Linked DNA regions of Ovis aries. The protein of the gene in region 2 purifies or fractionates together with the protein of the main gene of each other region. This does not show direct contact. Links are inferred from orthologs where the notes say so. Each region holds a gene or a part of one and is shown on either strand. Other genes may lie near its edges.

Evidence for each region.
Region 1: the proteins of KLC2 (region 2) and KIF5C purify together in Homo sapiens (affinity purification with western blotting; 3 studies listed by BioGRID and IntAct, with this or other methods). This does not show direct contact. The link is inferred for Ovis aries from reciprocal best matches to the Homo sapiens genes KLC2 and KIF5C.
Region 3: the proteins of KLC2 (region 2) and KIF5A purify together in Homo sapiens (affinity purification with western blotting; 3 studies listed by BioGRID and IntAct, with this or other methods). This does not show direct contact. The link is inferred for Ovis aries from reciprocal best matches to the Homo sapiens genes KLC2 and KIF5A.

What each region holds. Positions count from the first base shown.
Region 1 is NC_056055.1:160,716,936-160,725,086, forward strand, and holds the start of KIF5C (kinesin heavy chain), read right to left. Parts: upstream 5,339-8,151; 5' UTR 4,948-5,338; coding exon 4,822-4,947; intron 1-4,821. UniProt on the Homo sapiens protein: Microtubule-associated force-producing protein that may play a role in organelle transport. Has ATPase activity. Involved in synaptic transmission. Mediates dendritic trafficking of mRNAs.
Region 2 is NC_056074.1:40,740,976-40,748,936, reverse strand, and holds the start of KLC2 (kinesin light chain 2), read right to left. Parts: upstream 5,289-7,961; 5' UTR 5,265-5,288; coding exon 5,077-5,264; intron 4,400-5,076; coding exon 4,111-4,399; intron 1,697-4,110; coding exon 1,466-1,696; intron 1,311-1,465; coding exon 1,241-1,310; intron 583-1,240; coding exon 360-582; intron 1-359. UniProt on the Homo sapiens protein: Kinesin is a microtubule-associated force-producing protein that plays a role in organelle transport. The light chain functions in coupling of cargo to the heavy chain or in the modulation of its ATPase activity.
Region 3 is NC_056056.1:162,103,297-162,111,330, reverse strand, and holds the start of KIF5A (kinesin heavy chain), read left to right. Parts: upstream 1-3,193; 5' UTR 3,194-3,426; coding exon 3,427-3,555; intron 3,556-8,034. UniProt on the Homo sapiens protein: Microtubule-dependent motor required for slow axonal transport of neurofilament proteins (NFH, NFM and NFL). Can induce formation of neurite-like membrane protrusions in non-neuronal cells in a ZFYVE27-dependent manner.

The DNA.
Region 1 (8,151 bases), on a different chromosome or scaffold from region 2:
AAATGAATACAGCAGAGCTACACAATTCTATGTATTTCTCACATCCCCTACAATAGAACTATAAACCAAAAATAGTGATTTTACTCTGTATAAATTTTAAAATATTCTTGCTTTTAAGAATCATGACTATGGACAAAAAGAAAAGTTCTAGCCATATTTCTTGACATCTTCAGCCCATAATCTCCACAACAGTAACTCAGGCTTGGAATTTGGTTTCTGTCCCCACCCCTGACTTCCCTGCCCATCCACTGACCAGAACTAATCTAACCTCCTAGAGCCTAAGGCCACTTTCCATGCCACAGGCCAGCTCAGGGTTTGTGGCTAATATTTCGCTTTGGCTTTCAAACAAGTCAAAACTTACACTGCCTCAGGGGAGGCACCCTTGGTTAAAAAGACCTGCTTTCCCAGGAGTGCAAACAAGAGGAAAGCCGAAAACTGACATGTGAAAGTCCATTTCAAAGAAACCTACTGAGAACTCTCTCAAGACAGAGTTCCATCAATGTAGATACACCAAAACCAACAGGCAGAGCTCAAAGTAATGGAGGACTCGCCAGGATTTTTAGCAGTTAATGAAGACGTGTTCTGAGAAATGCTCTAAATCCAGTATTTTTCTCTGAAAGAATTAATGTGGTGCCCCTCACCCCCACCCTCCACTTCTAGCTCATCACAAGTGTCATTAGCAGACCTAATTTTTAACAAGGTTGAATACAGTTCTTTACCAAGGCATTTAAAAGATAGCACATAGCACATCTCTTTAAAATTATTTTTAACTACTCCCCACAGCTTACAGTCGATGAAAAGTCCATAAAGTCATTAAAATACACCAAGGTAAAGATTTCTAGATTCAACAAAGAGGTCAATAAATATTTATTAAGTGCCTTCTGTGGGTAACACCCTGAGAAGTACAAGAAGCAAAACATGAACGGGTCTTGGCTCTACACCTGCTTTACAATGTCATTAGACACAGGATCAAAATTAATAATAATCTAAGGGACTTCTCTAGAGGCACAGTGGATAAGGATCTGCCTGCCAATGCAGGGGACAAGTGTTCAATCCCTGGTCAGGGAAGGTTCCACATGCTCAGAGCAACTAAGCCCATATACCGCAACTACTGAGCTCCTGTGCTAGAGCTTGTACGCAACAAGAGAAGCTACCACTCTCTGCAACCGGAGGAAACCCACACACAGCAACAAAGACCCAGCACAGCCGAAAATAAACAAAAATCTGTAAAATAAATGAGAATCTTAAAAATTAAAAAATGATAATCTAAGGCAAAAAAGTACGAGATCACATACAGACTGAATCTGCAAGAGTTCACAAGGGAAGAAACTGTGGCTGGGGCAGTCAGGGAAAGAAAGGAGCAGGGGGGAAAAAAAGCAAGAATGATAGAGATAATCTCTTCAAGCTTTACCCCTGGTGGCTCAGGCGGTTAAACATCAGCCTGCAATGTAGGAGACCTGGGTTCCAGCTCTGAGTCAGGAAGATCCCCTGGAGAAGGGTATGGCAACCCACTCCAGTTCTCTTGCCTGGAGAATCCCACGGACACAGGAGCCTGGTGGGCTACAACCCATGGTGTCGCAAAGAGTCAGACACGACTGAGTGACTAAGCACGCACTTCAAGATGACATTTCTTAAAAAAAGAGAAATCTAGGAAGCCCACCTGCAAAATCTTCTCTCAGCATACATCTCCACAAGAAATGAACAAGACTTTAAAGGAAAAACAATCACTCCAGTTTCAAAAACAAACAAGAATTTCTGAGATTCTGAATTTGGACTCACAGTTACCTGCGCAGAAATTCATTCTTCATTCATCTCTGTTGGGCTCTGCGCTTCTTTGGTCCTCCCCACAATCTATGCCCCTGCAAGAAGGAGGGGAGAGCCCATCTAAGAGAGCCTCCACCTGCACCCGAGCCAGGTGGGCTGGTTCCAGCCGAACTGACCTGGGAGCCTTCTACTCAGTCGACAAAGGGTGATACAGGCTTCGAGAACGGTCACTTCCTTTAGTTACACATTACTAAGTAGGAATGAGAAGGGTCCTAGCACATGCCAACTCAAGTCCCAACACCCTTCAGCATCTGGCAGTCTTCTGTTCTGTACCAAACTCACTGACAGATGCATAAAAGAATGTTCATAGCCGCTCCACCTATATTAGCCTCAAAGTGGAAACTACCCAAACTGTTACTACCAACAGTTACTGGATAAATAATTTGTGGCATATTCATATAATAAGATACTACAGAACAATGAGGATGAACCAACTGCAGCCACACATCACAGTGTGGACCAATTTGACAATCATAATGTTGAACATAAGAACTCACACAAAGAGGTGAACATACTGTGTGGTTTTATGGAGCTAAAGCTTAAAAAAAAAAACCTAAAAGTCAGAATAGCAGTTATTCTGAGGCAGAGGGACTTAGTGACTGGGAGGGACTTCTGGGGTCCTGAAAATGTCTGGTTCCTAGCCTAAGAGGTGGTTATAGGAGTGTTTATATAAAAAAAGAAAAGCTATATACACTTATGAAAACACTTTTCTATATGAATGCTTTATTTCAAAGAAAAATTTATCTTAAAGAAAACTGAAAAGTGTTTCATTAAAGGATTATAGTAAGACGAAAAATTTTCAATTTACCCCAGATTTACAGTTGAAGAACTACATGTGTATTCACATCCACAACCATTTGTTTAATATAATTTAGTAGTGTCATAAAATTAAGGAAGGATAACCATAAAATTCAAGATCTCTGCCTTGCATACAGATCAAAGGGAAAATCGATTACTCCACTTCACTAGTTCTGGTATGTCACCCTTAGAAGATGGAGAAAGAAGAGCGTGGAAAGGAAGAAGGTGGAGTAGGAGGGAGAGAAGGAGGAGAAAGAAAAGAAACAGCTTGAGCCTCTCTTTAAAACCTCTGAAAAAATAGGGTCACCAGAACATGTTCTAGGACTGAACAATTATTGGTTAAAAACTGTCACCAGACAAGGGGCAGGGCTAGATGTCCCCAGTAACTCCCACTCTATCCAAACCACAAGCAGGCTCAGGAAACAGCAAATCAGCCTGTAGGGTGACCCCAGCTTAGATGTGTAACCCACAAGCTACTATCCGTCCCATGTCCTGGCCATAGATACATCACTATCCAATGTCAGCCATCAAGTATAGAATTTTCTTCCTCATCAATAATTGTAGCATACATCCTTCCTTCAATTTAACACTAAGCAGATAGAAAACCCCTCCTTCCTGGCCTCACAGGCCAGCTCTCAGGATGAACGACCACCCCCATAGCATTTGGGGGTCACGGTTTTCTGATGACTGTGAAAATGAGGAGGAGAGGAGGTCTTCAAGAGGAGATGCCTTTCTAAGGAAGGTACACGATGAAGCCCTTTGGCAATGCCAGAGCCTTGCCTCTGGTCTCCCGCGGAGAAAGCCTGCCTTCCGCTTCCACCAGCACCTGCTAGTCCCTGGGGCCCTTCACAGGTACTGCGGCACAACCTTGGCAAAGATGCTGGGACTGCTTGGGCAGGCAAATGTCTGCCTCTGGTGCTTAAGAAGGGTCGACCTGACTCCAGCAGAGACCCTAAGTAAATTGTCACCTGTCAATCACTTGACCTAAATACCCCAGCCACTGGGGGAAAATAGGAGGGAGGAGGTAGTCTGAGCATGCTCAGTAATCGGGATGACATCATTTAATCAATGCTGAGGCCGGGAAGGCTGCATCAGCAGCCGCGAGCAGGCTGCCAGGAACGTGTCAGCGGGGATCGGGAGGCTCCCATTAACTCGGTCCCTCCCCACGCGACTCGCATACAAAGAGGGTACCGTTAGCTACACACGCTGGGGACAGAGGAGGGGGAAGGGTGGGGGTGGGGGCAGGGAAAGCTGGCTTATTTCATTTGACATATTCCTTTAAGAACTAAAACCCAACGGTATTCCCTCCCAGCACCAGCAGCCGCGCTGCAGAAATGGAGCCAAGTCTGGGGAGGGGAAACTTGGGAAGGGAGATCAAAAGCGAGGGGGCCCCAGCCACACAAAGTAACTTGTTCTTTGGGTACAGAGGCTATTTGGCTCCGTTTGGGACCCCTGGTCCTACAGATGCGGGCGGGTGCACAGCCTCCTCACCGTCCAGCATGAAACACACCCGAGGGTCTGCGGACACCAGGTGGGGGTCGCCCCACCGGGAAGAGTTAGACTCGAGGTCCAAGTCAGGACAGCCTGGGTTGAGAGGAAGCAAGAGGAGACATACGAAGCCTCCGGGAGAGGCCACCAGTGTTCCCCCAGCCCCCGCCTTCCGCGTGCAGAGCAAGGTGAAACGCCGCGGGGAGCCAATTCGACACGGCTGTTGGAGCTCGGTGCAGAAGCTAGGATTTTTCCAGTAGCTTTTTTCCTTCTTTTACCAAAACTGTGAGAAGAGGCAAAGTGCTCGATAAATCGAAACGATCCCTGGTATCATTTGTGGGCTACAGAGCTCATACTTTAAGAGGAGTCTGAGCTTGAGGATAACGCGAACACACTACCCACGCGACGTGGCCAGGGCGGGGAACAATAGACCCACCCGGGCCCCCACCCCAATAACAATGGCGGCGCCGAACCCTTGCTCGCCCCCTACCCCCACCCCCGCCACCTGGGGCCGCCCCGAGGCCTCCAGTCGACCCTCAACTCGCCCAGGAGGGAACTGCAGGGTGGGGGATTCTCGTCAAGTCCACCCTAGAGGGCAGCCCCCAAGGGATGTCCAAATGGGCTGCCAAAGCATCTCTGCCCGGCCTGGGGCATTGGGGCGCCGGGCTGGGGCGCGAAGCATCAGGGAGGCCAGACTTCCCAGCCACTTACCCCGATCACCACGGTCTCCTCGCCTTTAAATTTGGGGATGAATTTGTCCCCGCGGAGGATCTCTGCTTCGTTTAGTGGCCGGAACCGGCACATCACTTTGATGCTGCATTCGGCTGGATCCGCCATCTCGGCCGGCGGCAGGGAGGGGGCGCAAGGATGGGTGGGGGGCCGCGGTTCGGCACAACGAGGGAAAGTGGTTGAGAACCGCACCGCCCGCAACAAGGCCGCCTCCCTCAGCCTAGACGACGCTTCTCAGCAGGTCATCGCGAACTCGGCTGGCTGGGCAGCTCCGGCCGCTCCGACACCTTGTAGGTGGGCAGCCTATTAACCTTTGGCCCAGCCGGCTGCAGACCTGCCTTTCCTGGCCCTGCGCTGCGCCCCAGGCCCACCTGCCCACGACCACGCGGCGGGCGGACGAGGCGATGCGCAGGGAGCCAGCCTCTCCCTACTCAGACCTCCCGGGCTCCTGCGAGCTCAGCCATCCTGCATCAGCACCAGCGCGCTCGGTCGCCTCCCCGACCCGCCCCTTCGCCCCGCCCTGCCTCGGCACAGCCCTGGTCGGTTACGTCACTGCGGGGATCCGCCCCGCCCTCGCTCAGGCTCCGAGAGCGAAGCATCCTGGGACTTGTAGTCGCTGCACCTGCGGGTGAAAAGACTTGGATGCTTGGAGTTGGCTTTCGGGAATAGCGGCGGTGCCTAGGGTGACGCATCCGACAACCTGCAGATCTTGGGTGGCTGCCCAAGTCAATAAAACGACGGATGTCGCATCCAATATTCCCGGTTAAAATCTCTATAACTAACAAGGTCTATATTATCTCCTTACATCTTTTCATGATCCCACAGGAAAGTCCCCTCTTAAGACCGTGTCCAACTAAACAGTTATGGAGCATTTTCTTTGTGCTCAACAGTTATTAAGCGTTGTGAGGAAATTAGAAGGGAAATGAGATTTGCATGGATATTTGAAGCCAGTAATTCCTGAAAAAGCTTGTTCATACATTTTTTGGGTCAGGAACTCCGTTAATATGTGATGAAAGTTAGGGACCTTTCCCATAACGGAAACAAAGACAAATAAACCCGTACACACCCACAGATTTTTTTCACGCTATTTCAGAGGGTCACTCTTGCTTGGAAAATCCCATAAATGGAGGAGCCTGGTAGGCTGCAATCCATGGGGTCGCTAAGAGTTGGATACGACTGAGCTTCTTCACTTTCACTTTTCACTTTCATGCGTTGGAGAAGGAAATGGCAACCCACTCCAGTGTTCTTGCCTGGAGAATCCCAGGGACGGGGGAGCCTGGTGGGCTGCCATCTATGGGGTCGCACAGAGTCGGACACGACTGAAGTGACGCAGCAGCAGGGACAATCGAACCCTGCCTTTAACACCCAGGTTAAGAAATTCTTAATTACTAGTATTTATTGTATAGTTTTGGAGCAGGAAATGGCAACCCACTCCAGTACTCTTGCCTGCAGAATCCCATGGACAGAGGAGCTTGGCAGGCTCCAGTTCATGGGCTGGCAAAGAGTCGGACACAACTAAGCAATTAACACAAACGTTGTATAGCTTACAGACCCTCTCCCTAACACCTGTTTATAATCCTGTAGAATGAACAGATATATTATCAAGTCCAAAGTTCTTTGCAAACTACATCCAGGTCCCGCGATCAGATTTCTGTCTACTTATTAGCCTCATCTCTTACTGCTTCTTGTCTTGACATTTACACTCTGATAAACACCAAGCTACTTGTGGCTTCTTCTATTTAAATTTACCTCTTGCTCTGCTTGCTTCTTGTACTTTGTTTAAGCATTGACTCTCTGGAAGTCAAGCATTCATGCCCATTAGTAAGTATGTACAGCAGGGCTCTTGCCATGGAAGGTGATAGAAATCCACCCAGAGCCACTAAGTCTAAAGGAGAACTTGGGACTTCCCTGGTCCAGTGGTTAAGATTCAGTGTTTCCACTGCAGAGGGCATGCATTCCATCCCTGGGTCAGGAAGATCCCCTGGAGAAGGGCATGGAAACCCACTCTAATGTTCTTGCCTGGAGAATACCATGGACAGAGGAGCTTGGTAGGCTATGTCCTTGGGGTCGAAAAGAGTCGGAAAAGACTTAGCAACTGAACACACACAGACAATGTAGGTTTTAGATCACTATAGTGATAATCCTCTTGAAAATTATAAATGTATCAAATTAATAGGCTATATACCTTAAACTCGAGCTTCCCTGGTGGCTCAGTGGTAAAGAATCTGCCTACAGTGCAGGAGATCTGTGTTCAAGTCCTGGGTTGGGAATTTCCCCTTGAGAAGGGAATGGCAACCCACTCCAGTAGTCTTGCCTGGAGAATTCCATGGACAGAGGAGCCTGGAGGGGCTATAGTCCATAGGGTGGCACAGAGTTGGACATGACTGAAATGACTAAGCAACAGCAGCAGATATGCTAAACTTACACAACATTATAAGTCAATTATGTTGCAGTAAAGCTGGAGAAACAAATTAGTAATAGATTTCCCCAGGGGAAGTAGTAAAAGGTAGGGGGAGGCACTGAGGTCACTGGTAAATTCCCTGACATCCATCCCACGCATCCCTACTGAGAAGCTAGAACACACTGTGGACAAATGTCCCCAACTCTGCGCATGGCTTGTGTTCACTTCAGTTCAGTCGCTCAGTCGTGTCCGACTCTTTGTGACCCCATGAACCGCAGCATGCCAGGCCGCCCTGTCCATCACCAACTCCCGGAGTTCACTCAGACTCACATCCATCGAGTCAGTGATGCCATCCAGCCATCTCATCCTCGGTCGTCCCCTTCTCCTCCTGCCCCCAATCCCTCCCAGCATCAAAGTCTTTTCCAATGAGTCAGCTCTTCGCATGAGGTGGCCAAAGTATTGAAGTTTCAGCTTTAGCATCATTCCTTCCAAAGAAATCCCAGGGCTGATCTCCTTCAGAATGGACTGGTTGGATCTCCTTGCAGTCCAAGGGACTCTCAAGAGTCTTCTCCAACACCACGGTTCAAAAGCATCAATTCTTCGGCGCTCAGCCTTCTTCACAGTCCAACTCTCACATCCATACATGACCACAGGAAAACCACAGCCTTGACTAGACGGACCTTAGGGGGCAAAGTAATGTCTCTGCTTAACAGTGGAAACAGTGTCAGACTTTATTTTTGGGGGCTCCAAAATCACTGCAGATGGTGATTGCAGCCATGAAATTAAGAGACGCTTACTCCTTGGAAGGAAATTATGACCAACCTAGATAGCATATTCAAAAGCAGGGATATTACTTTGCCAACTAAGGTCCGTCTAGTCAAGGCTATGGTTTTTCCTGTGGTCATGTATGG
Region 2 (7,961 bases):
AGGGCCTCTGCTCCTGCTGCTCTTTCTGCCAACAAAACTTCCAATCCCCTTACGTTTTGGGCAAACTCCACTTTCACCAGAGGCCCGCCTCAAGCCTTGGTGTTGGAGAGGCTGTGCCCAGCGCGCTTGTATGTTGCCCCCTCCCCAGTCTTGTCCAAGCCCATTTCCCGCACTAGACTGAGGCATGATGTGTAGCCCAGGCCCTGCTGTGGGCTCAGCCCTCTCTGGGGACAAGATCCTTCTGTCACCCAGCTTGCTGCCTAGTGGAGCCCGAGTCCTGGCCCACTGCAGGCACCAGTGCTTTGTCATCCCCAGGAAGAGTGCTCCCACAGGTGACCGTGGTCGGGGGGGTGCCTCACCGGTAGACCAGCGCCAGGATGTTCAGCATGGTGGCCACGTCCGGGTGGTCGTGGCCCGATGTCTTCTCCAGGTCCTCCAGGGCCTGCTTGCAGAGGGGCACGGCCACCTCATAACGGCCCTGGGAGGCGTACTGGATCACCAGGTTGTGCAGGGTGCGCAGCCGGGCCGGGATTTCATAGCCCCCGTGCTGGGCGGCCACATCGCCTCCTCCAGGGCTGGGGGCTGCAAAGCCAAGGAGGGGAGGCCAGATGTACCCCCTGAGCTGGGGGGCAGCTTTGACTGATCACACCCGTGGCCCTGGGCAAGTCACTGTCACCCTCTCTCACTTTCCGCATCTATAGAGAGGGTCCAGGCAAGCCACAGAAAGAGAGGGTGGAGGCCCAGCTCTGGTACTTCAAGCCATGTGGCCCAGAGCAAGCCGCCTCGCTCCCGAGAGGAGCGGCCGCCACCTCATCTGCAGAAGGGAGGCTCTGATTGGCACAGGAAACATGAGCAAGGCCAGCACTGGCCCGGGGCTCCAGCCTGGGGTTCAGTGCTGCGCGTGCGTCCTCCTTTAACCCTCGGGGGAGGCTCGGAGAAGAAAAGAAACTCTACCAGCGGTCACAGACCAAAGAGTGCAAGTCAGGGCTCGCACCCAGGCCGGGCGGCTCCAGGGCTCTGAATTGTGATGCCTGCTCCTCACGGAACTTGAGGGGATGAGAGAAGCAACAGGTAAAGCCAGCCTTTTAAGTGCTCATGCTGGGATGTTATGATCAGAAACGAGGCAGGGAAGCACCTGGTGGTCACTCAGTCAGACCTCGTTTCCTGTGACCTCTGGGTCCCAGGGACTGGTTCACCCAGTCTTCTTTTCCCACCCCCAAAGCCAGCCGCCCCTCTGCACCTGGGTTCTGCTCCTCCTCGCTGGGGAACAGGTCATCCAGAGAGTCTTTGGGGACATCCCCCTTGTCCTCCTGGGGAGGGAGACAGGATGAGCGTCAGGGAATGTGGGCAGCCCAGGGGTCAGCAGGCTGGGTGGGAACTGCGCTTGTTCCCTGGCACCTCCCCTGGTCCTGGACCTGCCCCCCACCCCCCGCAGTGGCCTTGCAATGGCTACACCGGGGCTTACGTTGGGGGGGGTGTCCTCATCCAACTTGCGGATCTGGCTCATGAACAGCAAGTGCTGCTTCTCCTCTTCGAGCTGGGCCACGGCCTGCTCGCTGCGCTGCAGCTTCTGCTGCGTCCCCGCCAGCTCCTCGCGCAGCCACTGGTTCTCCTGCACCAAGCGCCGCACCTGGGCCCGCAGTTTCTGCTTCTCCGACTCCACGGCCCCCAGATGGCTTGAGAGCGCCAAGATCACCTGTGGCAGACAGCCAGAATGGAGGTCAAAGCCCTATCCACCCGCCCCCACACCATGCCCAGCCTGGGCCTCCTGGGGCCCAGAAAAGAGCCAGGCCTGGAGGAGCTGCCAGCCTGAGGGTCCCAAGTTCTCTCATTGACAGAGTTTTGCCCCAGGGCCCCAAACAGACCACACACAGCCTGAGACCTGAACCCAGGAGGCTTGGGGATCCCCAGCTCCTTCCTTTTGCAGTAGGGACCCCTGGGCTCCCAGGCTGGCTCTGCTAGACTCTGAAAGAACCCATCATCCCCTTTCCTGGGGCCTCCAGCTAGCCCTCCGCATAGACGTCCAGTTGTTCTGATCATGAAGAGCGCTGACTGGGGTGCTGCCCGTTCTCCAAGCTGGCCGCTCTCTTCCTGTCTCTCTGAGGAGTTGTACTCAAGCCCTGTAGCCAGAGCCACTAAACCACTGCCCCTGGCCCAGGGCTAGCACTTTTCCAAAGATTCCTGAGAGATGGCTGAAAGGATACCAAGAGACCCCATCCTGACTTCTGCCCAGGGGCCACCTGCAGCTCCCAGGGAGAGGAGTATGTGTCCTAAACCCCTGGTTTTCTGGGGAACCAGAGAGGCAGGGAAGGGGATGCAGGGGCCTCAGCTCCCATCCCTCTTCCCCAACTCCCTGACTCCTTTCCTGAGCTTCCAGGCTCTTCCTGCCTTGAGGCCTTGCTAGGTGCTACCCTTTCTCCATTCCTCATGGTCAGAGTCATTTCTGCAGTGAAGCCTCTTCCCTCTTATGCTCTCGGCCCCAGGAAAGCAGGGTATCTCACCCACCCCCCCACACACCATTCTGTTGCCCACCTGTACCTGCCCTGGGAAGGTGCCCCGGTATGTTCATCTCTGTACCTAGCAGTCAACTGGCCAAGGAGTGAATGACCAACACATTGCCCTTCCAGAGGGCTGGGCAGTCTAGAACCATGTGCTTTCTAGTTGATGAGCAAACACCCAAGTGACACGTGTTTTCAAATTCCCTAAACAGCCTGGACATATATACAGCATATGGTGTGATCCTTCTTTTAAAAACAAGGAAACCAAGATAATACCACCTGCCCAGGGCTCACGGAGCCAGGCAGTGTCTCAGCCAGGATCTGAGTGGGCCAAGACTCTTTTCCCAAGAGTCTAACTCCTCGTGCACCCCAGTGCCTCCCAGATATCTCCATCTGCATGTCATCCTAGCAGCCCCAGCTCCTTAAGAGGACCCAAACAGAACTCCTGATCCATCACACTCTCTTCTCCTTTTTTTAAAAAACTTATTTATTTTTATATTTTTTATCTCTTGGCTGCTGCACACAGCGCGTGGGATCTTAGTTCCTCGACCAGAGATTGAACCCACGCCCCCTGCACTGAGAGTGCAGACTCTTAACCGCTGGAACACCAGGGAAGTCCCCTCCTCTTAATTTGCTCAAACCACAGACCTTCTCCCTCTCCTTTAGTCCATCCCCAGGCCCTGCTCAACCTACCTCCAGAATGTCTAGAACTCACCCCCTTCTTACTAGCTTCATGGCCACCCCTTTACTCCAAGTTGCCATTTCTCATTTGAATTCCAGTAGTGGCTTCCTAACACCTGCTACCTCCTTCTACCCTGACCCATCCTCATTCACTCTCCACACCTCAGCCAGAGAGTTTTTTAAAGCCTAAGCCAGGCCATGTGCTGTGACTGCTTAAACCCTCCAAAGGCTTCTTGACTTCCTAAGAATAAAACCCAGACTAATAAGGCCCCTGTCTTCTCCATAGACCTCTTCTGCCCCTCTCTTTCCTCATGAAGCTTCAGTCAGACAAGTCTTCTCTCAGTTCTCCCACCACGAGATCTTTTCTACCACAGGACCTTTGCACACACAATCTCTCATTCTCCTTTTTTGTTCTGTCACTCAGATCTTGATTTAAATGTCATTCCTTCAGAAGTGTAGCTTGACCAATAGATGAGACCTCCTGCCATACCTTTTTTTTGAGAACTCACCGTAACGTTGAATAAATATATGTGTTTCTGACTCTTCTCTTACTAGACTTGGCAGGGATCTTGTCTGTCTTGTTGGACCTGTATCCCTGGCACCTAACACATTTCCTGGCACACAGTAGGCACTTGATAACTTACCTGTTAACAAATGAATAAAAGAATAAATGAGGGGAGGGGTCCTTAAGGACTTCCTTTTTGTTTCCCTAGGCCATGCAGTCTCTGCTAGGTAGCAGAGAAGTCAGATAATCAGCCCTCCTGGGCTCAACCCATCCATTTTTTCAATAGATATCTACCAGATCCTACCATAAGGCTCCAAGGCACAGATTCTTCCTTCCATGCTGATTCTGTTACTACACTGCCAGGATTCCTCTGCAAGGCTCCATCCCTCCCGTGACCTCCCTCCTCAGCACCCCGGACCAGCCTACCTGGGCCTCGCCCAGCCCCAGCTCGATGGCCTCGAGGGAACGGCGCAGGAGGACACAGCGCTCCTGTGAGCCCGGCTCTGCCTCACTAGCTTCATGAGCGACCAGGGGAGCGAGAAGGGCACGATGCTCCCCGCGCAGGGTCTCTAGCCCTTGGATGACGGCCTTGGTGCCCAACACGATCTCATCCTGGCTCAGCTTCTCCTCCCGAGGAAGCACCATCGTGGCCATGGCTGTACCTCCTGTGAAGGCGAGAGGGCGGGCAGGGGGTGCCGGGCCTGGGGCCAAGCCGCTGTCCGCCCCAGATTAGGTAAACACCTAGGGCCCCCCGGACGCCTGGGTCCCCCGGGAGCCCGGTCCCCCAGATAGCAGCCCGCACCGTGCTCGCGCTCGGCCTACAGGGGGCGCGCTCTGCTCGTCTCGGCCCGGGAGACGCAATGCGGTGCGACCCGCGAGGCTGGACCCGGATTCGGCCCAGACCACTGGCTCAAGGCCGGCTTAGGCAACCCGGTCTCGGGGCTTCCCCAGAGGCTCCCTTAGAACAGGAGGCGCCAGAGGACGATCCTACTGGGATAGTGAGGGGTTTACTCCCGTGCGGAGACACCAGCCCCTCTCAGAGATCCGGTCCCAGCTCCCTCGGACAGCGCCCCCTCCCCAACAGGCAGGCCGAGCCACAGAGCCCTCCTCCTGGGGAGGCCGACCCTGGGAAGACGCTCCCGCTAAGGAGCTGAGATCGCGGGGTTCCTCGTCCCCTCCCCCCCAGGCCGCGCCCACGACGACCCCTCCCCGTAGGCCAGCATGACATCCTGCGGACCCCTCCTCCCCTGAAAGCTCCCGACCCCGGTCATCCAGAACCGCGCCCCCTCCCCGCGGGCCGGCCTGGTCCTCTCACGAGCCGCGCCCCAGACAACCCCTCCCCTAAGGCCGACCCCGAGCTCCCTTCCCCCAGCCCGATCGGCCCGCGCGGACCTCAGTCTCCCGCTCAGGCCCGCCTCGCGCTCCGGCTCCGGCTCCGGCTCCGGCTCCGGTGCCGCTTCACCCGGACCAGCCGCCGTGAGCTGGTCCCGCCGCCTCCATCCCGCCGGCCTTCCCAGCAGTCCCTGCGCTGCCTTAAAGGTGAAGCCGGCACCTTGGCGGCGTCGGAGGGGGCGAAACATTCCTTTAGGCCGGCAGGCTGCCTTAAAGGAGCACGCCTGCGGGGCCCACTCCAGGCCAGGGGGAGGGGCAGGGGGCGTAGCTGTTGGCGACGGGGCGTGGTCACCGAGGCGTGGGGCGTGGGCTAGACCCGCTAGTGTCCCCGCTGCCGCCGCCGCCGCCGACGCCACCTCCCAAGCTCCTGCGGCCTCGTAGTCCTCCGTTGTAACCAGCCCCGAGACCGCGGGAGTGTGGACTGGCTGGGGAGGATGTGTACCTGAACGTACCTTATTCTGCGGCCAGAGAGGACGGCGGGAGAAACTGAGGCCCGGAGGCCCAGGGAGAAGTCTCGGCCTCCTCAGAGTCCAGATCGGGACATTTGACATTTATTGGCATGGAATGAGGCGGAGTGCCACTTTCTGAGCGCTTACTGAGTGCCGCGCGCTTGGATGCCTTAAGTGCATTTAACGCTTACAAAGACCGAATAAAGTGGGCACTGCTATTATCCCAGTGTCACAGGTAATAACCCTACACTCATTTGTCTCTAATCGGTGGTTATGCCCCACCCAATTCCTTTGGAGCTTTCCTTGTCCCATGAGGTGGTTCCCGGCATCTTAGGGCTGCTTCTTGGGAGGAAGGAACAGAGGCTTCCGGCCATGAAAGAGAAAAAGGTGACAAGGGGCAGCCGGGCATTGGCAGAAACACTCTTGACCCTGTGGGTGAGCACCACCACGAATGCTGTGGACTGGACGATCAGGACAAGGTGATGTCATTCAGGGCTCAGGTGCGACGTCATCTCAGAGAGCCCTCCCCTGATTCCCCGCACCCTTATGTAGAGCAGCCCTCCAGCCCATCTCATGCACCCATCAGGCAAGATCTGCATGTCTTGTTCATTCCCAGAGAAACTCCTGGCCACCACATGGCAACACTCAGTGAATGTTAGTTTTTAAGAAGGGCGCACCTGTTGGCCCAGGTTTAGGCCTGGCACTCTGCAGCCCTGCGTTGCTGGCCACCCTGGCCTTGCCTCCACTGCTTTTAGGTCGCCATCTCTAGAAGAGTTCCCTCTGAGAGACAGTACCTGCCCAGCAACGCCTGGCACTGGTACCCAGGCATCTAGGGTGTTCCTCTTGAGTGGGGGGCGCTCAGACTCTACCAGGTTCAGTGTCCTGATGGATAAACCCTGTGAGCATCATCTCTGGCAGATGTCCTGATGCCTCCCAGCTTAAGTATGTTCGGTGGCAGGAAGGTCAGTACAGTCTGCAGTGAGCTCTAAAGGTCAGCAAGGTTTTCCTTCCACAGTCACTGTGGACACTGCTGCCCACACCAAACTGAAGCTCTGCCCAAAGGAAGGACAGCTGCTCCCTTTTGCCAAAAAGATGTTCCGGTGCCTGGCCAGACAATCCAGGACCCTTCACCCTCTCCTCCCCCCTCTCCCCTCTGGATATCTCTTTTTCTGGATGTGGCTTAGCATGTCCATCCAGACACTGCTCAGAATATGGGACTCAGTCCAGGGCGTAGGCATCCAGACCGGGAGGGAGATGTGAAGAGAGCAGAGGGCCAGTCCACTCCCAAGGAGCGCACCACCTGTCCACCGTGAAGCTGAAAGTCAGGCTGGCTTCGACAGCCGCTGGACCGTGTCTGTTCAGGGTGAGCTCGTCAATTAAAACCCTAGATTGCACGCATCCTGGTTTTAGCCAGCCAGGTTCTTCTCCCCCATCCTGTGCTTCAGTGAGTGATTTCCCCCCAGAGATTTTTAAAGGGAATTGATACATTCAGATGATGTGACATTCGAAAGGCAGGTACAAGATGCAATGAAACGTGACTCTCTCACTGACCACCTGCAAGTCTTGCAGGTCCCCTCCCCAGGAGCACCCGCTGTTATGTTTCTTGTGTCCATTGATTGCGTGGTTTGCCTCAGTGCAGAGCTTGTGTTTATCCTTGTGGGTTTCGTAGGGTCAGTTTTCCTCCAGGGCCCTGCAGGTTGGTGTCTTTTGCATTCAGAGTCTTTAGCCAGCACATCGACCCTACCTCCCGGGGTCGCACTGGCTGTGGTGTGACAAGCCTGCCTCTCTGCAGAGAGACTCCCATCAGACCATGGCTGTACTCCCAGCTGGCTGGCAAATTCACAGGGAGGAAATGGGATCCAGAGCCCAGGGCAACTTTGCTGTTCTTATCAAGGCTTTGTTGTTGATGTTCAGTCGCCCATTCGTGTCCATCTCTTTACAACCCCATGGACTGCAGCACGGCAGGCTTCCCTGTCCTTCACTACCTCCTGGAGTTTGCTCAAACTCATGTCCACTGAGTCAATGATACCATCCAACCATCTCATCCTCCGCTGCCCTCTTCTCCTCCTGCCCTCAGTCTTTCCCAACATCAGCGTCTTTTCCAGTGAGTCAGCTTTTCACATCAGGTGGCCAAAGTATTGGAACTTCAGCTTCAGCATCAGTCCTCCCAATGAATATTCCGGATTCATTTCCTTTAGGATTGACTGGTTTGATCTCCTTGCTGTCCACGAGACTCTCAGGGGTCTTAACAAGGCTGGGTTTCAGTAACTCTTGGGAGGGAACTTTGTTCCAGAAGTTCCTTCTAGAGACTGAGATTCAGTGGTGCCAGGGCTGGTCATGAATATCTCTTATTATTATGAAACTTCAGCAGTGCCCATGACATGCACCCTGGGCTGAAAGGCACTCCTTATACATCTTTGTTTTACAGATAAGGAA
Region 3 (8,034 bases), on a different chromosome or scaffold from region 2:
AGGAGCAGGAAGTCTCGCGACAGGAGTAGTACAGAGGAAGGGTGAAGCAAAAGTCGCGAGAACAGCCCGCTACCACACCCCTGGAGAGGCAGGGATTGGCGAGAACGAGGCCGGGAATGAGGTAATGGCAGGAAACCGCCGCCTAGGATTGTGGGATATGCAGTCTTGGCCCACCCAGCTTGGGTGGGGACCGACGTTAACGCGCTTTGGGAGCTGTGTCACATAACTTATTTTCTTTCGTCTTTATAGCGAGTCTGTGAAAGAGCTTTTACAATTCCTGTTTTTCGGTGGATAAATTTGTTGTTCAGCCGCTAACTCTGTCTGCTGCTAAGTCGCTTCAGTCGTATCCGACTCTGTGCGACCCCACAGACGGCAGGCCACCAGGCTCCTCTGTCCCTGGGATTCTCCAGGCAAGAACACTGGAGTGGGTTGCCATTTCCTTCTCCAACGCATGAAAGTGAAAAGTGAAAGTGAGTCGCTCAGTCATGTCCGACTCTTAGCGACCTCACGGACTGCATCCTACCAGGCTACTCCATCCATGGGATTTTCCAGGCAAGAGTACTGGAGTGTGTTGCCATTGCCTTCTCCCAACTCCTGTCTAGCTCTTTGCAACCCCATGGACCGTAACCCGTCAGGCTCCTCTATCCTCCACTATCTCCCACAGTTTGCTCACATTCATATCTATTGAGTCAGTGATGCTCTCTAACCGCTAGCCATGTCAAGCTCCCAGAAATTAAATGACTGGGTAAAAACAACACAACTAGGTTTGCTAAGGCACAGCCAGGGCTTTGAAACAACAATAAGTAACTTTAATAGAGATTTAATCGTGTTGGGAATGAGAAAGTTAACTAACCAGGTTAGGGCTGTCAGATAAAATACAGAGCTCTTAGTTAAATTTGAATTTCACATAAACAACTAATAGTCTTTATAGTATAAGTATGTCCCATAGGATATGTAGGACATATACATAAAATAGACACATTTTACTATTTTATCTGAAATTCAAATTTAACCAGGCATCCTGTTTTTGAATCTGGCAATTCTATCACAAGTTAATAAACACTTGGTAGCACCCTCTGTGCTCTTAATCCCTTCACTAATGGTTTTCAGACTTTTGAATTTCACAGTTTAGTACAATTAAAACAATATCAAACCTTTCTGAGGATAGGCATAGTATTGCTACTTTTTTATTTTGCCAAGCAAGTATTTGCCAAATCTATTCTCTATTACCATCATTACTTAGTAGAAAAGTACAGAAGGACATACAGTACTCTCAGAATAAGAGATATTCCTTTGAAACAACAAATCCAGCTTTATGAAAAAACTACCGCATTCACATTGTGTCGTGTTTTTTTGCTGGGAGGGATCCATACACGGTCAACTTTTGTCTGACCAGAGACCCTGCATTGACTAGTATTCTGAAACCCCTTCACTAAGGATGTCATCCTGGAGCCCCTGGGGGCCTAAGGTTGGGATATTTCCTGAGCTTGCAGGATGCTGCAACAATTAGAAATAGTGCCAGACCAAGAGACTGGAGAGATGCCTGTTTTCCTGAGTTTAGAACTCATTGTCATTCAATGTGTACTCTCCTGGCTCCTCCCCAAGCCTTTCTCTCCACAGTGCTACTGCCTTGCCATCCAGTTTCTTATGGTGAACCTCTTTCCTTCAGTTTCCTTAAGATTCAAGGTGGGTTAAGGGTATATGTCCAACTCGGAAACCCCTTTAGCTGTGTTCTGAGTGGTTAGGTCTTGTTTGGCCAGGCCATCATTGTCTCTTCCTTGCCTCAAGTGACCTTAGACACCAGACAATTGCTAGGCAGAACCTCCCTCCCTCCTTTCTTCTCCCATCACCCTGCTCCTCCCCCTGGCCTAGAGTCTCAACTCCTGCAGTCTAACTCTGTTGGCCAGCAGAGGCCCTGTGACGTGGAGAAAAATCAATCCCGCCAGCTTCTAGATGGTTCTGCCCAGGGGCTGCAGCAGCAGTCCTACTGGAGGGGAGGAAGGACATGGAATTTCTAGACTTGGCTCTCTCTCTCTCTCTCTTTTTTTTTTTTTTGCCAGAGAGAGGGGAGAAACAGAAGAAAGGCCTGAGAAAGGGGCTGGAGTGTTGGGACTGTTCAACAGAGTACTGCGATAGGAAACATACTCACATAGGTGCCTAACCCTGCCTGAAGCCCAAGTGCAGACGTCAGCTCTAGAGGTCCTTTCTTCAAGCCCCTCTGGTCTTACCCACCACCATCATCTCTCCTCCATCACTGCTTTATGACTTCCTCCCTCTTGCAAAAATTCCTCTGGACCACCACCATCCCAGCTCCAAACTATGAGGCAAAAATGCGAATTACCTGCTTTTGAATTTTGAGAGACCAAAATAGGACCCCGGGTAGCTCAGCTGGTAAAGAATCCGCCTGGCAATGCAGGAGACTCAGGTTCAATCCCTGGGTGGGGGAAATGCTGGGGAGAAGGAAATGGCAATACACTTCAGTATTCTTGCTTGGAGAATCCCCATGGACAGAGGAACCTGGCAGGCTACAGTCCAGGGGGTCGCCAAGAGTCAGACAGGCCAAAATAGGAGATCACAGGCCAAAATAGGAGACTTAGTCGGGACCTAGTATCTATGTTGGGGAGCGAGTAGAGTCCTTTTGGATGTAGGAGGGGAAGGGAAGAACCAGACCTCCCTTGACACTCTTTAAAAAATGGACCCTGGACACCCACCTCCATAGGGATACAAGTAGCTGCCCCTGAAGGTTTGAGTGAGCTGAGGATCTTTGAGAGGGTTGTGGGGAAAGAGAGGAGGAGACGTGTGCTGCCAATCTGGAGAGAGGACTGTGATGGAGGTGAAGGATGCCCTGGAATAAAGGAGGTGTGAGTGCTGTTGACTCTATCTCCGGCGGGAAGACAGACCCACCTCAGATCCCTTAGCCCTTCCAGGGGGTTGGAATCCGAGGGAGGGACAGACTGGCCAGGGTTGTGAGGGTGGGACCCAGTGAGTGACTTGGGTGGGGAAGGGGTGAGGACACGCTAGTCTCCGAGAGTCAGGAGTGGGGAGAGGAAGCACGAAGAGAGCAGAGGTGCCACCGTCCGTCGGTGGGCGCCGTGGGGCGGCTGCCCCCAGCCAGGGAAGCCCCGCCCCGCTCCTCCGTCGCCGCCCCGCCCAGGCCCGCAGCGCGGCGCTGCAGCGCGAGGGGCGGAGAGGCAGAGCGCCGAGAGAGGACCAGACGCCCAGGTCGCCCGCATCCCGGTGCCGCAGGAGAGAGGAAGCGCGCCTCGGCCCTGCTCCTCAGCCTTTGCCCGGGCGCCCGCCTCAGCCTTCTGAACCCCCAGAGACAGAGCACCTGTCCTTCGCCTGGGCCTCAGCTGAGCCCCTCTCCTCCCGGAGCACACGCGACCTCTGCAGCCGAAGTGTCCCAGCCCCACGCCGGCGACCACCATGGCCGAGACCAACAACGAATGTAGCATCAAGGTGCTCTGCCGATTTCGGCCCCTAAATCAGGCCGAGATTCTGCGGGGGGACAAGTTCATTCCCATTTTCCAAGGGGACGACAGCGTCGTTATTGGGGTGAGTGCGGCCCCTGGAGGGAATTTCGGAGAGGGGACAGGATCTTTTACGCCCGCCGAGCCTCAGCCCCCAGCCTGTCTCAGCTCCCTCTCCCCACCGCTCATCCTCCTCCATCCTTTTAGCCGCAGCCCCTCCTCTCCCTGCATCAGGATGGCTGGGTGTGGCCTGGCCAGACCGGCGGCCGAGTCTCGGCAGAGTGGGAAGGGGCTACTATCCCGCGATCCGGGGACCGGATTCCCCTTTGCTGCTTTCTGCAGCGTCCCCACCCCTAGAGCCAGTCTCGTGTTTTTCTGACGTTTTCCCTGTTCCCTAGGGAAGGCGCATCTTCCCTTTGTTATTGGCTCAGAATCTCTACCCCTCACTTCCCAGGAAGGGAGGGGGAAGACTAGTGGACTGGCTAGATGGGAGGTGGGTTGTCCAGGGTCTCTGCCCAGGTACAAGTGAGGATGGACCCTGGGGTCAAGGCCTCCATCATCCCCTGAAGTAGTTACAGCCTGGACTTGGAGGGCACAGGTTTAGTGAAGGGTTTTCAGAGTAGGAAATACATTGGTGCCACACCCAGTTTGGGGAGGGGGATCTTCTAGGTCCTAAAGAAATGTCTGCCTTTCCCTCCCAGGTATGGTAGGAAGAGGATTTCAGACCCCTCAACTCACTCTAACAAAAATAACCAAACCCTGAGATCCTATCAAGCAGTTGCTTATTCATCGTTTCTCTTGATGATCCAATTCAAAGTAGCAAGCCACCTCCTCTACCTAGTCTTGACAGCCCCTACCCTTGGAAGAGACTATTAAGAAGGAGAACTAGTATTTCCTGTGCTTTTTACTCTACATATATCATTTGATCTTCAAAACAACACTCTGAAGAAGGTATCAATATTTCCACTTTACAGATGAGGAAATTGAGGCCCAAAGAAGTCGAATGACTTTCTCAAGGTCACACTGTTAATTCATGGATCTGAACCTAAATCTGTCACTCCAAAGCTCACATCTTTCCTTCGGTATCACATTACCTCCACAGATTTGGGTTCTGGACTTTTAGCTGTGGTAGCCCCCGAGGGATTCCTAGGGAATTCCTCACCTCCCCTCCTTTCCTAGGCTGGTTGGGACTGTCAGGCTATGGGGTGAAAGGATTTGGGGTTGAGTCCAGTAAGGAGTAGGACTTGAGGGGTGCTGGGCCAGGACACTGTAGCCAGTTCAAGAAGGGAGGAGCCCATATAAGGGCCATCCTCAAGGTCAGGGGCACTTCTTATGTATCTTTGATCCATAGTGCTTGGCACAGGGCTTGCTTGTTGAAGGAATGAAGGAAAGAAGAGGAGGGAGCCTGGGTCTTCGGAGTCAGTGAGAACGGGACTTTGAGTAAACATGCCTTAGGAAGAGACTTGCTGACGTGGTCTGTCCCCAAGGGCTCGTCTGTCACCAGTCTCTCTCACCTCCACTGTGGACTCAAATGGGTGCTCTCGCCCTGTGTATGTGCTTATGTATGTATGCTTGCCACATAGGGAGGGCCCCTGTCTCTCTTTGTCTCGGGAACCTTAGACCTTGCAGACTGATCAGTCTGGCCAGGCTGAAATAATGCCTGGATCAACCCTTGGGGCCTCCTTTCTGAATAGTCTGGACAGTGGGTGTTAGCCACGAGAGTTAGAGCTTGAGGGCCCCCTGAGACAGAAAGGCTGAGAAATAGGACCAGGGTGGTTATGGAGGAACAAACCCACAAAAGGCTTCCACTTTTAAGCCTAACTTCCTTGCTCTAGGGTGTTTAGGTTTATCTGAACCAACTCCCTTAGGCTCTCTGGGGCACCCATCCTGGCATGGTGGACACAGGGCAGGGGGCGATGTTGGGAGAAGGAGTTGTGTTGATTTGTCTCATTCCCAGCTAAATAGAGAGACCTCGTGGAGGTGGGAGGGAGGAGAGAGAAAGACAGGCCCAGGGCCCCCTGCCAATTCAGATTTTATCTTACTCCACAGCTGTTCCTTCGTTATCTGTTTTGCCTGATATTTGCAGGGCTGAACCTTTGTCTCGCTCTGTGTCTTGCCTTGCCCTAGCCCTTCCTGTCAGTGTCTTATGCCAAGATAAGTGCTTATGGGGGGCCATTTTGTCTCAGGCAGCATCCTCGGTGCTTGCCTTCCCAGGCTTTCTATTCATTCCTCGTTCAGGAGGATGAGGGTCATAAGTGAAGTGATTGTGAGGAGTGCCTTGAGGGTCCCAACCAAGGAAAGGAAATCCCCGACCCTCCTTCCTCTCTCTTCCTCTGGCTCCCTTTGGGGCCCGTTGTGGGAACTGTGTGAGGAGGTAATGGAGGAATCTGCTTCAGGATGTCTGGGAGGGCTGAAGATGGGAGAGGCTATTCTCTCTCTCCAGTCCCAGCCCCCTGCTCCTCCTGTGATGGCTCTCCTCTCTGCACTGCGGCTAGCTCTGGGCTACAGAGTCCCTAATGTTCATGGGTTTTTTCTGCCTGGCGGAATGTAGGAGAACAAGCTTGGAAGACAGCTCTGTGAGCCTCATCCCCCTCCCACCCCATGACTTGTCCCTGGAATCTGGGGGATGGGGCTTAGCCCACGTTAATGGCCTGAGTCATAGTGGAAGGGTGTCTGGGTCACTGTCTATGTGTGCTGTGTACCTTGTCTTGCTCTTTGGGTCACTCGGAATCCACTGTGACTTTTTAAGTGTACCCATTTATGTGTCTCTCTGCCTGTCTTGGTGGGCAGTGTGAGCTGTGCATCTATACCAGACACAGGAGAATGGCAGTAGGGAAATCCATAGCCTCTCTGCCTCCCGCCCCTGCTCCACTTCCTTTCCGTCTCCTCTTCCCTCCCTCCCTCATTCAAGTACCCACCATATTCTATCTCCCTTAGATTTCCTGATGGCTCAGTGGATTCTTAAAGAGGCAATAAAGCAGGGCCACCAAGTACCTCATTTGGAAAAGCCAGGTTGGGGCCTGCAGGATTATTGGAGCATAGTCAGTATTGTTTGAGGTGGCCCAGGATTCTTTTGATGTCTGATGGAGACGATCAGTTCTCCCCTTAGCCTTGGGGGAGTCTCGTCAAGGAAAGCAGAGAGGGGAGGTGATGTTCACTGTGGCCAGTGTCTCTCTAGCATTGCCATGGCAACAATCCCCAAGGTTGTCACTATGGAAATCAGTCCTGGTGCTCTCAAGTTCAGTCTCTACCAAGTGCTTTAGTGAAGGTTGAAAAGGTTGGTTATCTCTGGACCCCTGATCTTAGACCTTTCCATTAGCTTTAGTCAGCACCCTTTGTGGAAAACACCAGAAAGTGCTGGGAGACACAATTGGACAGCACACGGGGAAGCTTGGAGTGGGTCAGAGAACAGAGAGTCCTGGGTTGTGGGACTCTGAAGAGAAGCCCTCTGGAGGGGCGGTTTATGCTGCTGTGGGGGGAGAGAGAGTGGGTCTCAGAGGCATTCCTCAAAGGTGGAAGGTCTCCCTGAGTGTTCCTAACTTACAAGTCTTCTAGTCCCTGACTAATTGAAGTCACGGATTAGTACATCCTTGGAGAGGATAGATGGAAGAACTGCATTCTTCTGAAAAAGGGGTTGAGGTTGCAAAAAGAGGATGATGAAGGGCTTTAGTTCTGTCCAGAAGTATTTGGAGAAACGCCCACATGGAGAGAGGAGGGGAAGGGAAGCCATGATAAAGCTCTGACGCAGTGTTGGCACGTCAGTTCTGGGATCACTTTGACAGTGTGGGTCTGGAATCAGATTGCTTGGGTTTGAAACCTTCTTCTACCACTACCCTACCTCTCTGAACTTCAGTTTTCACATCTATGCAATATGAAAATAATAATAGTACCTACGTCCTAGGATTGCTGTGAGCATGAAATGAGATAATGTATAGTGACAGGCACATCATAAACTCCCAACCAGAGTTAGATGTTATTTTTATTTTAGATGGGCTGTCTCCCCACCAGCTCACCTTTGGCACAACTGGGAAGTGGTTAACATTTTCCCCTCTTACAGATTGTTTCATCCAAAGATTCAGGTCCCTAGGATCTTCTTGCTCTCTTCTTCCATCAATATCTGTGTTTCTTCAACAGATATATTAATGAAGAGCCTCCTGTGGGCCAGGGTCTGTGCTTGATGTTGGGGATTGAGAGGGGAACCTCTATCTTCAGGAAACTCTTGGTTTACATGGTGGTCCAGACTGTGGAGTGGCCTGGCCAGAGTCCTGGGAGAGGGCATCAGAAATGGCTTTTGTTAATTGTACATATGCTTCCCCAGATTCTGATAAGAAATCCCCCACAACATACTACAGTCTGACTCAGAATAATTGTGTGTCATGAGAGATGTAAATAATGGTGACGTTTCCCAAGTGAATAGTCTAGAAGCAAAAAAAGTAGATAACCGCTGGTCTAGTTATTTTTTAAAAAGATCTGACAGAACAAATTCATCCTGTAATAAATAGAAAGTTAAAGGACGTTCATACTTTAACAGATATAAAAGTCTTAGGAAGAAGAAATGAACTAG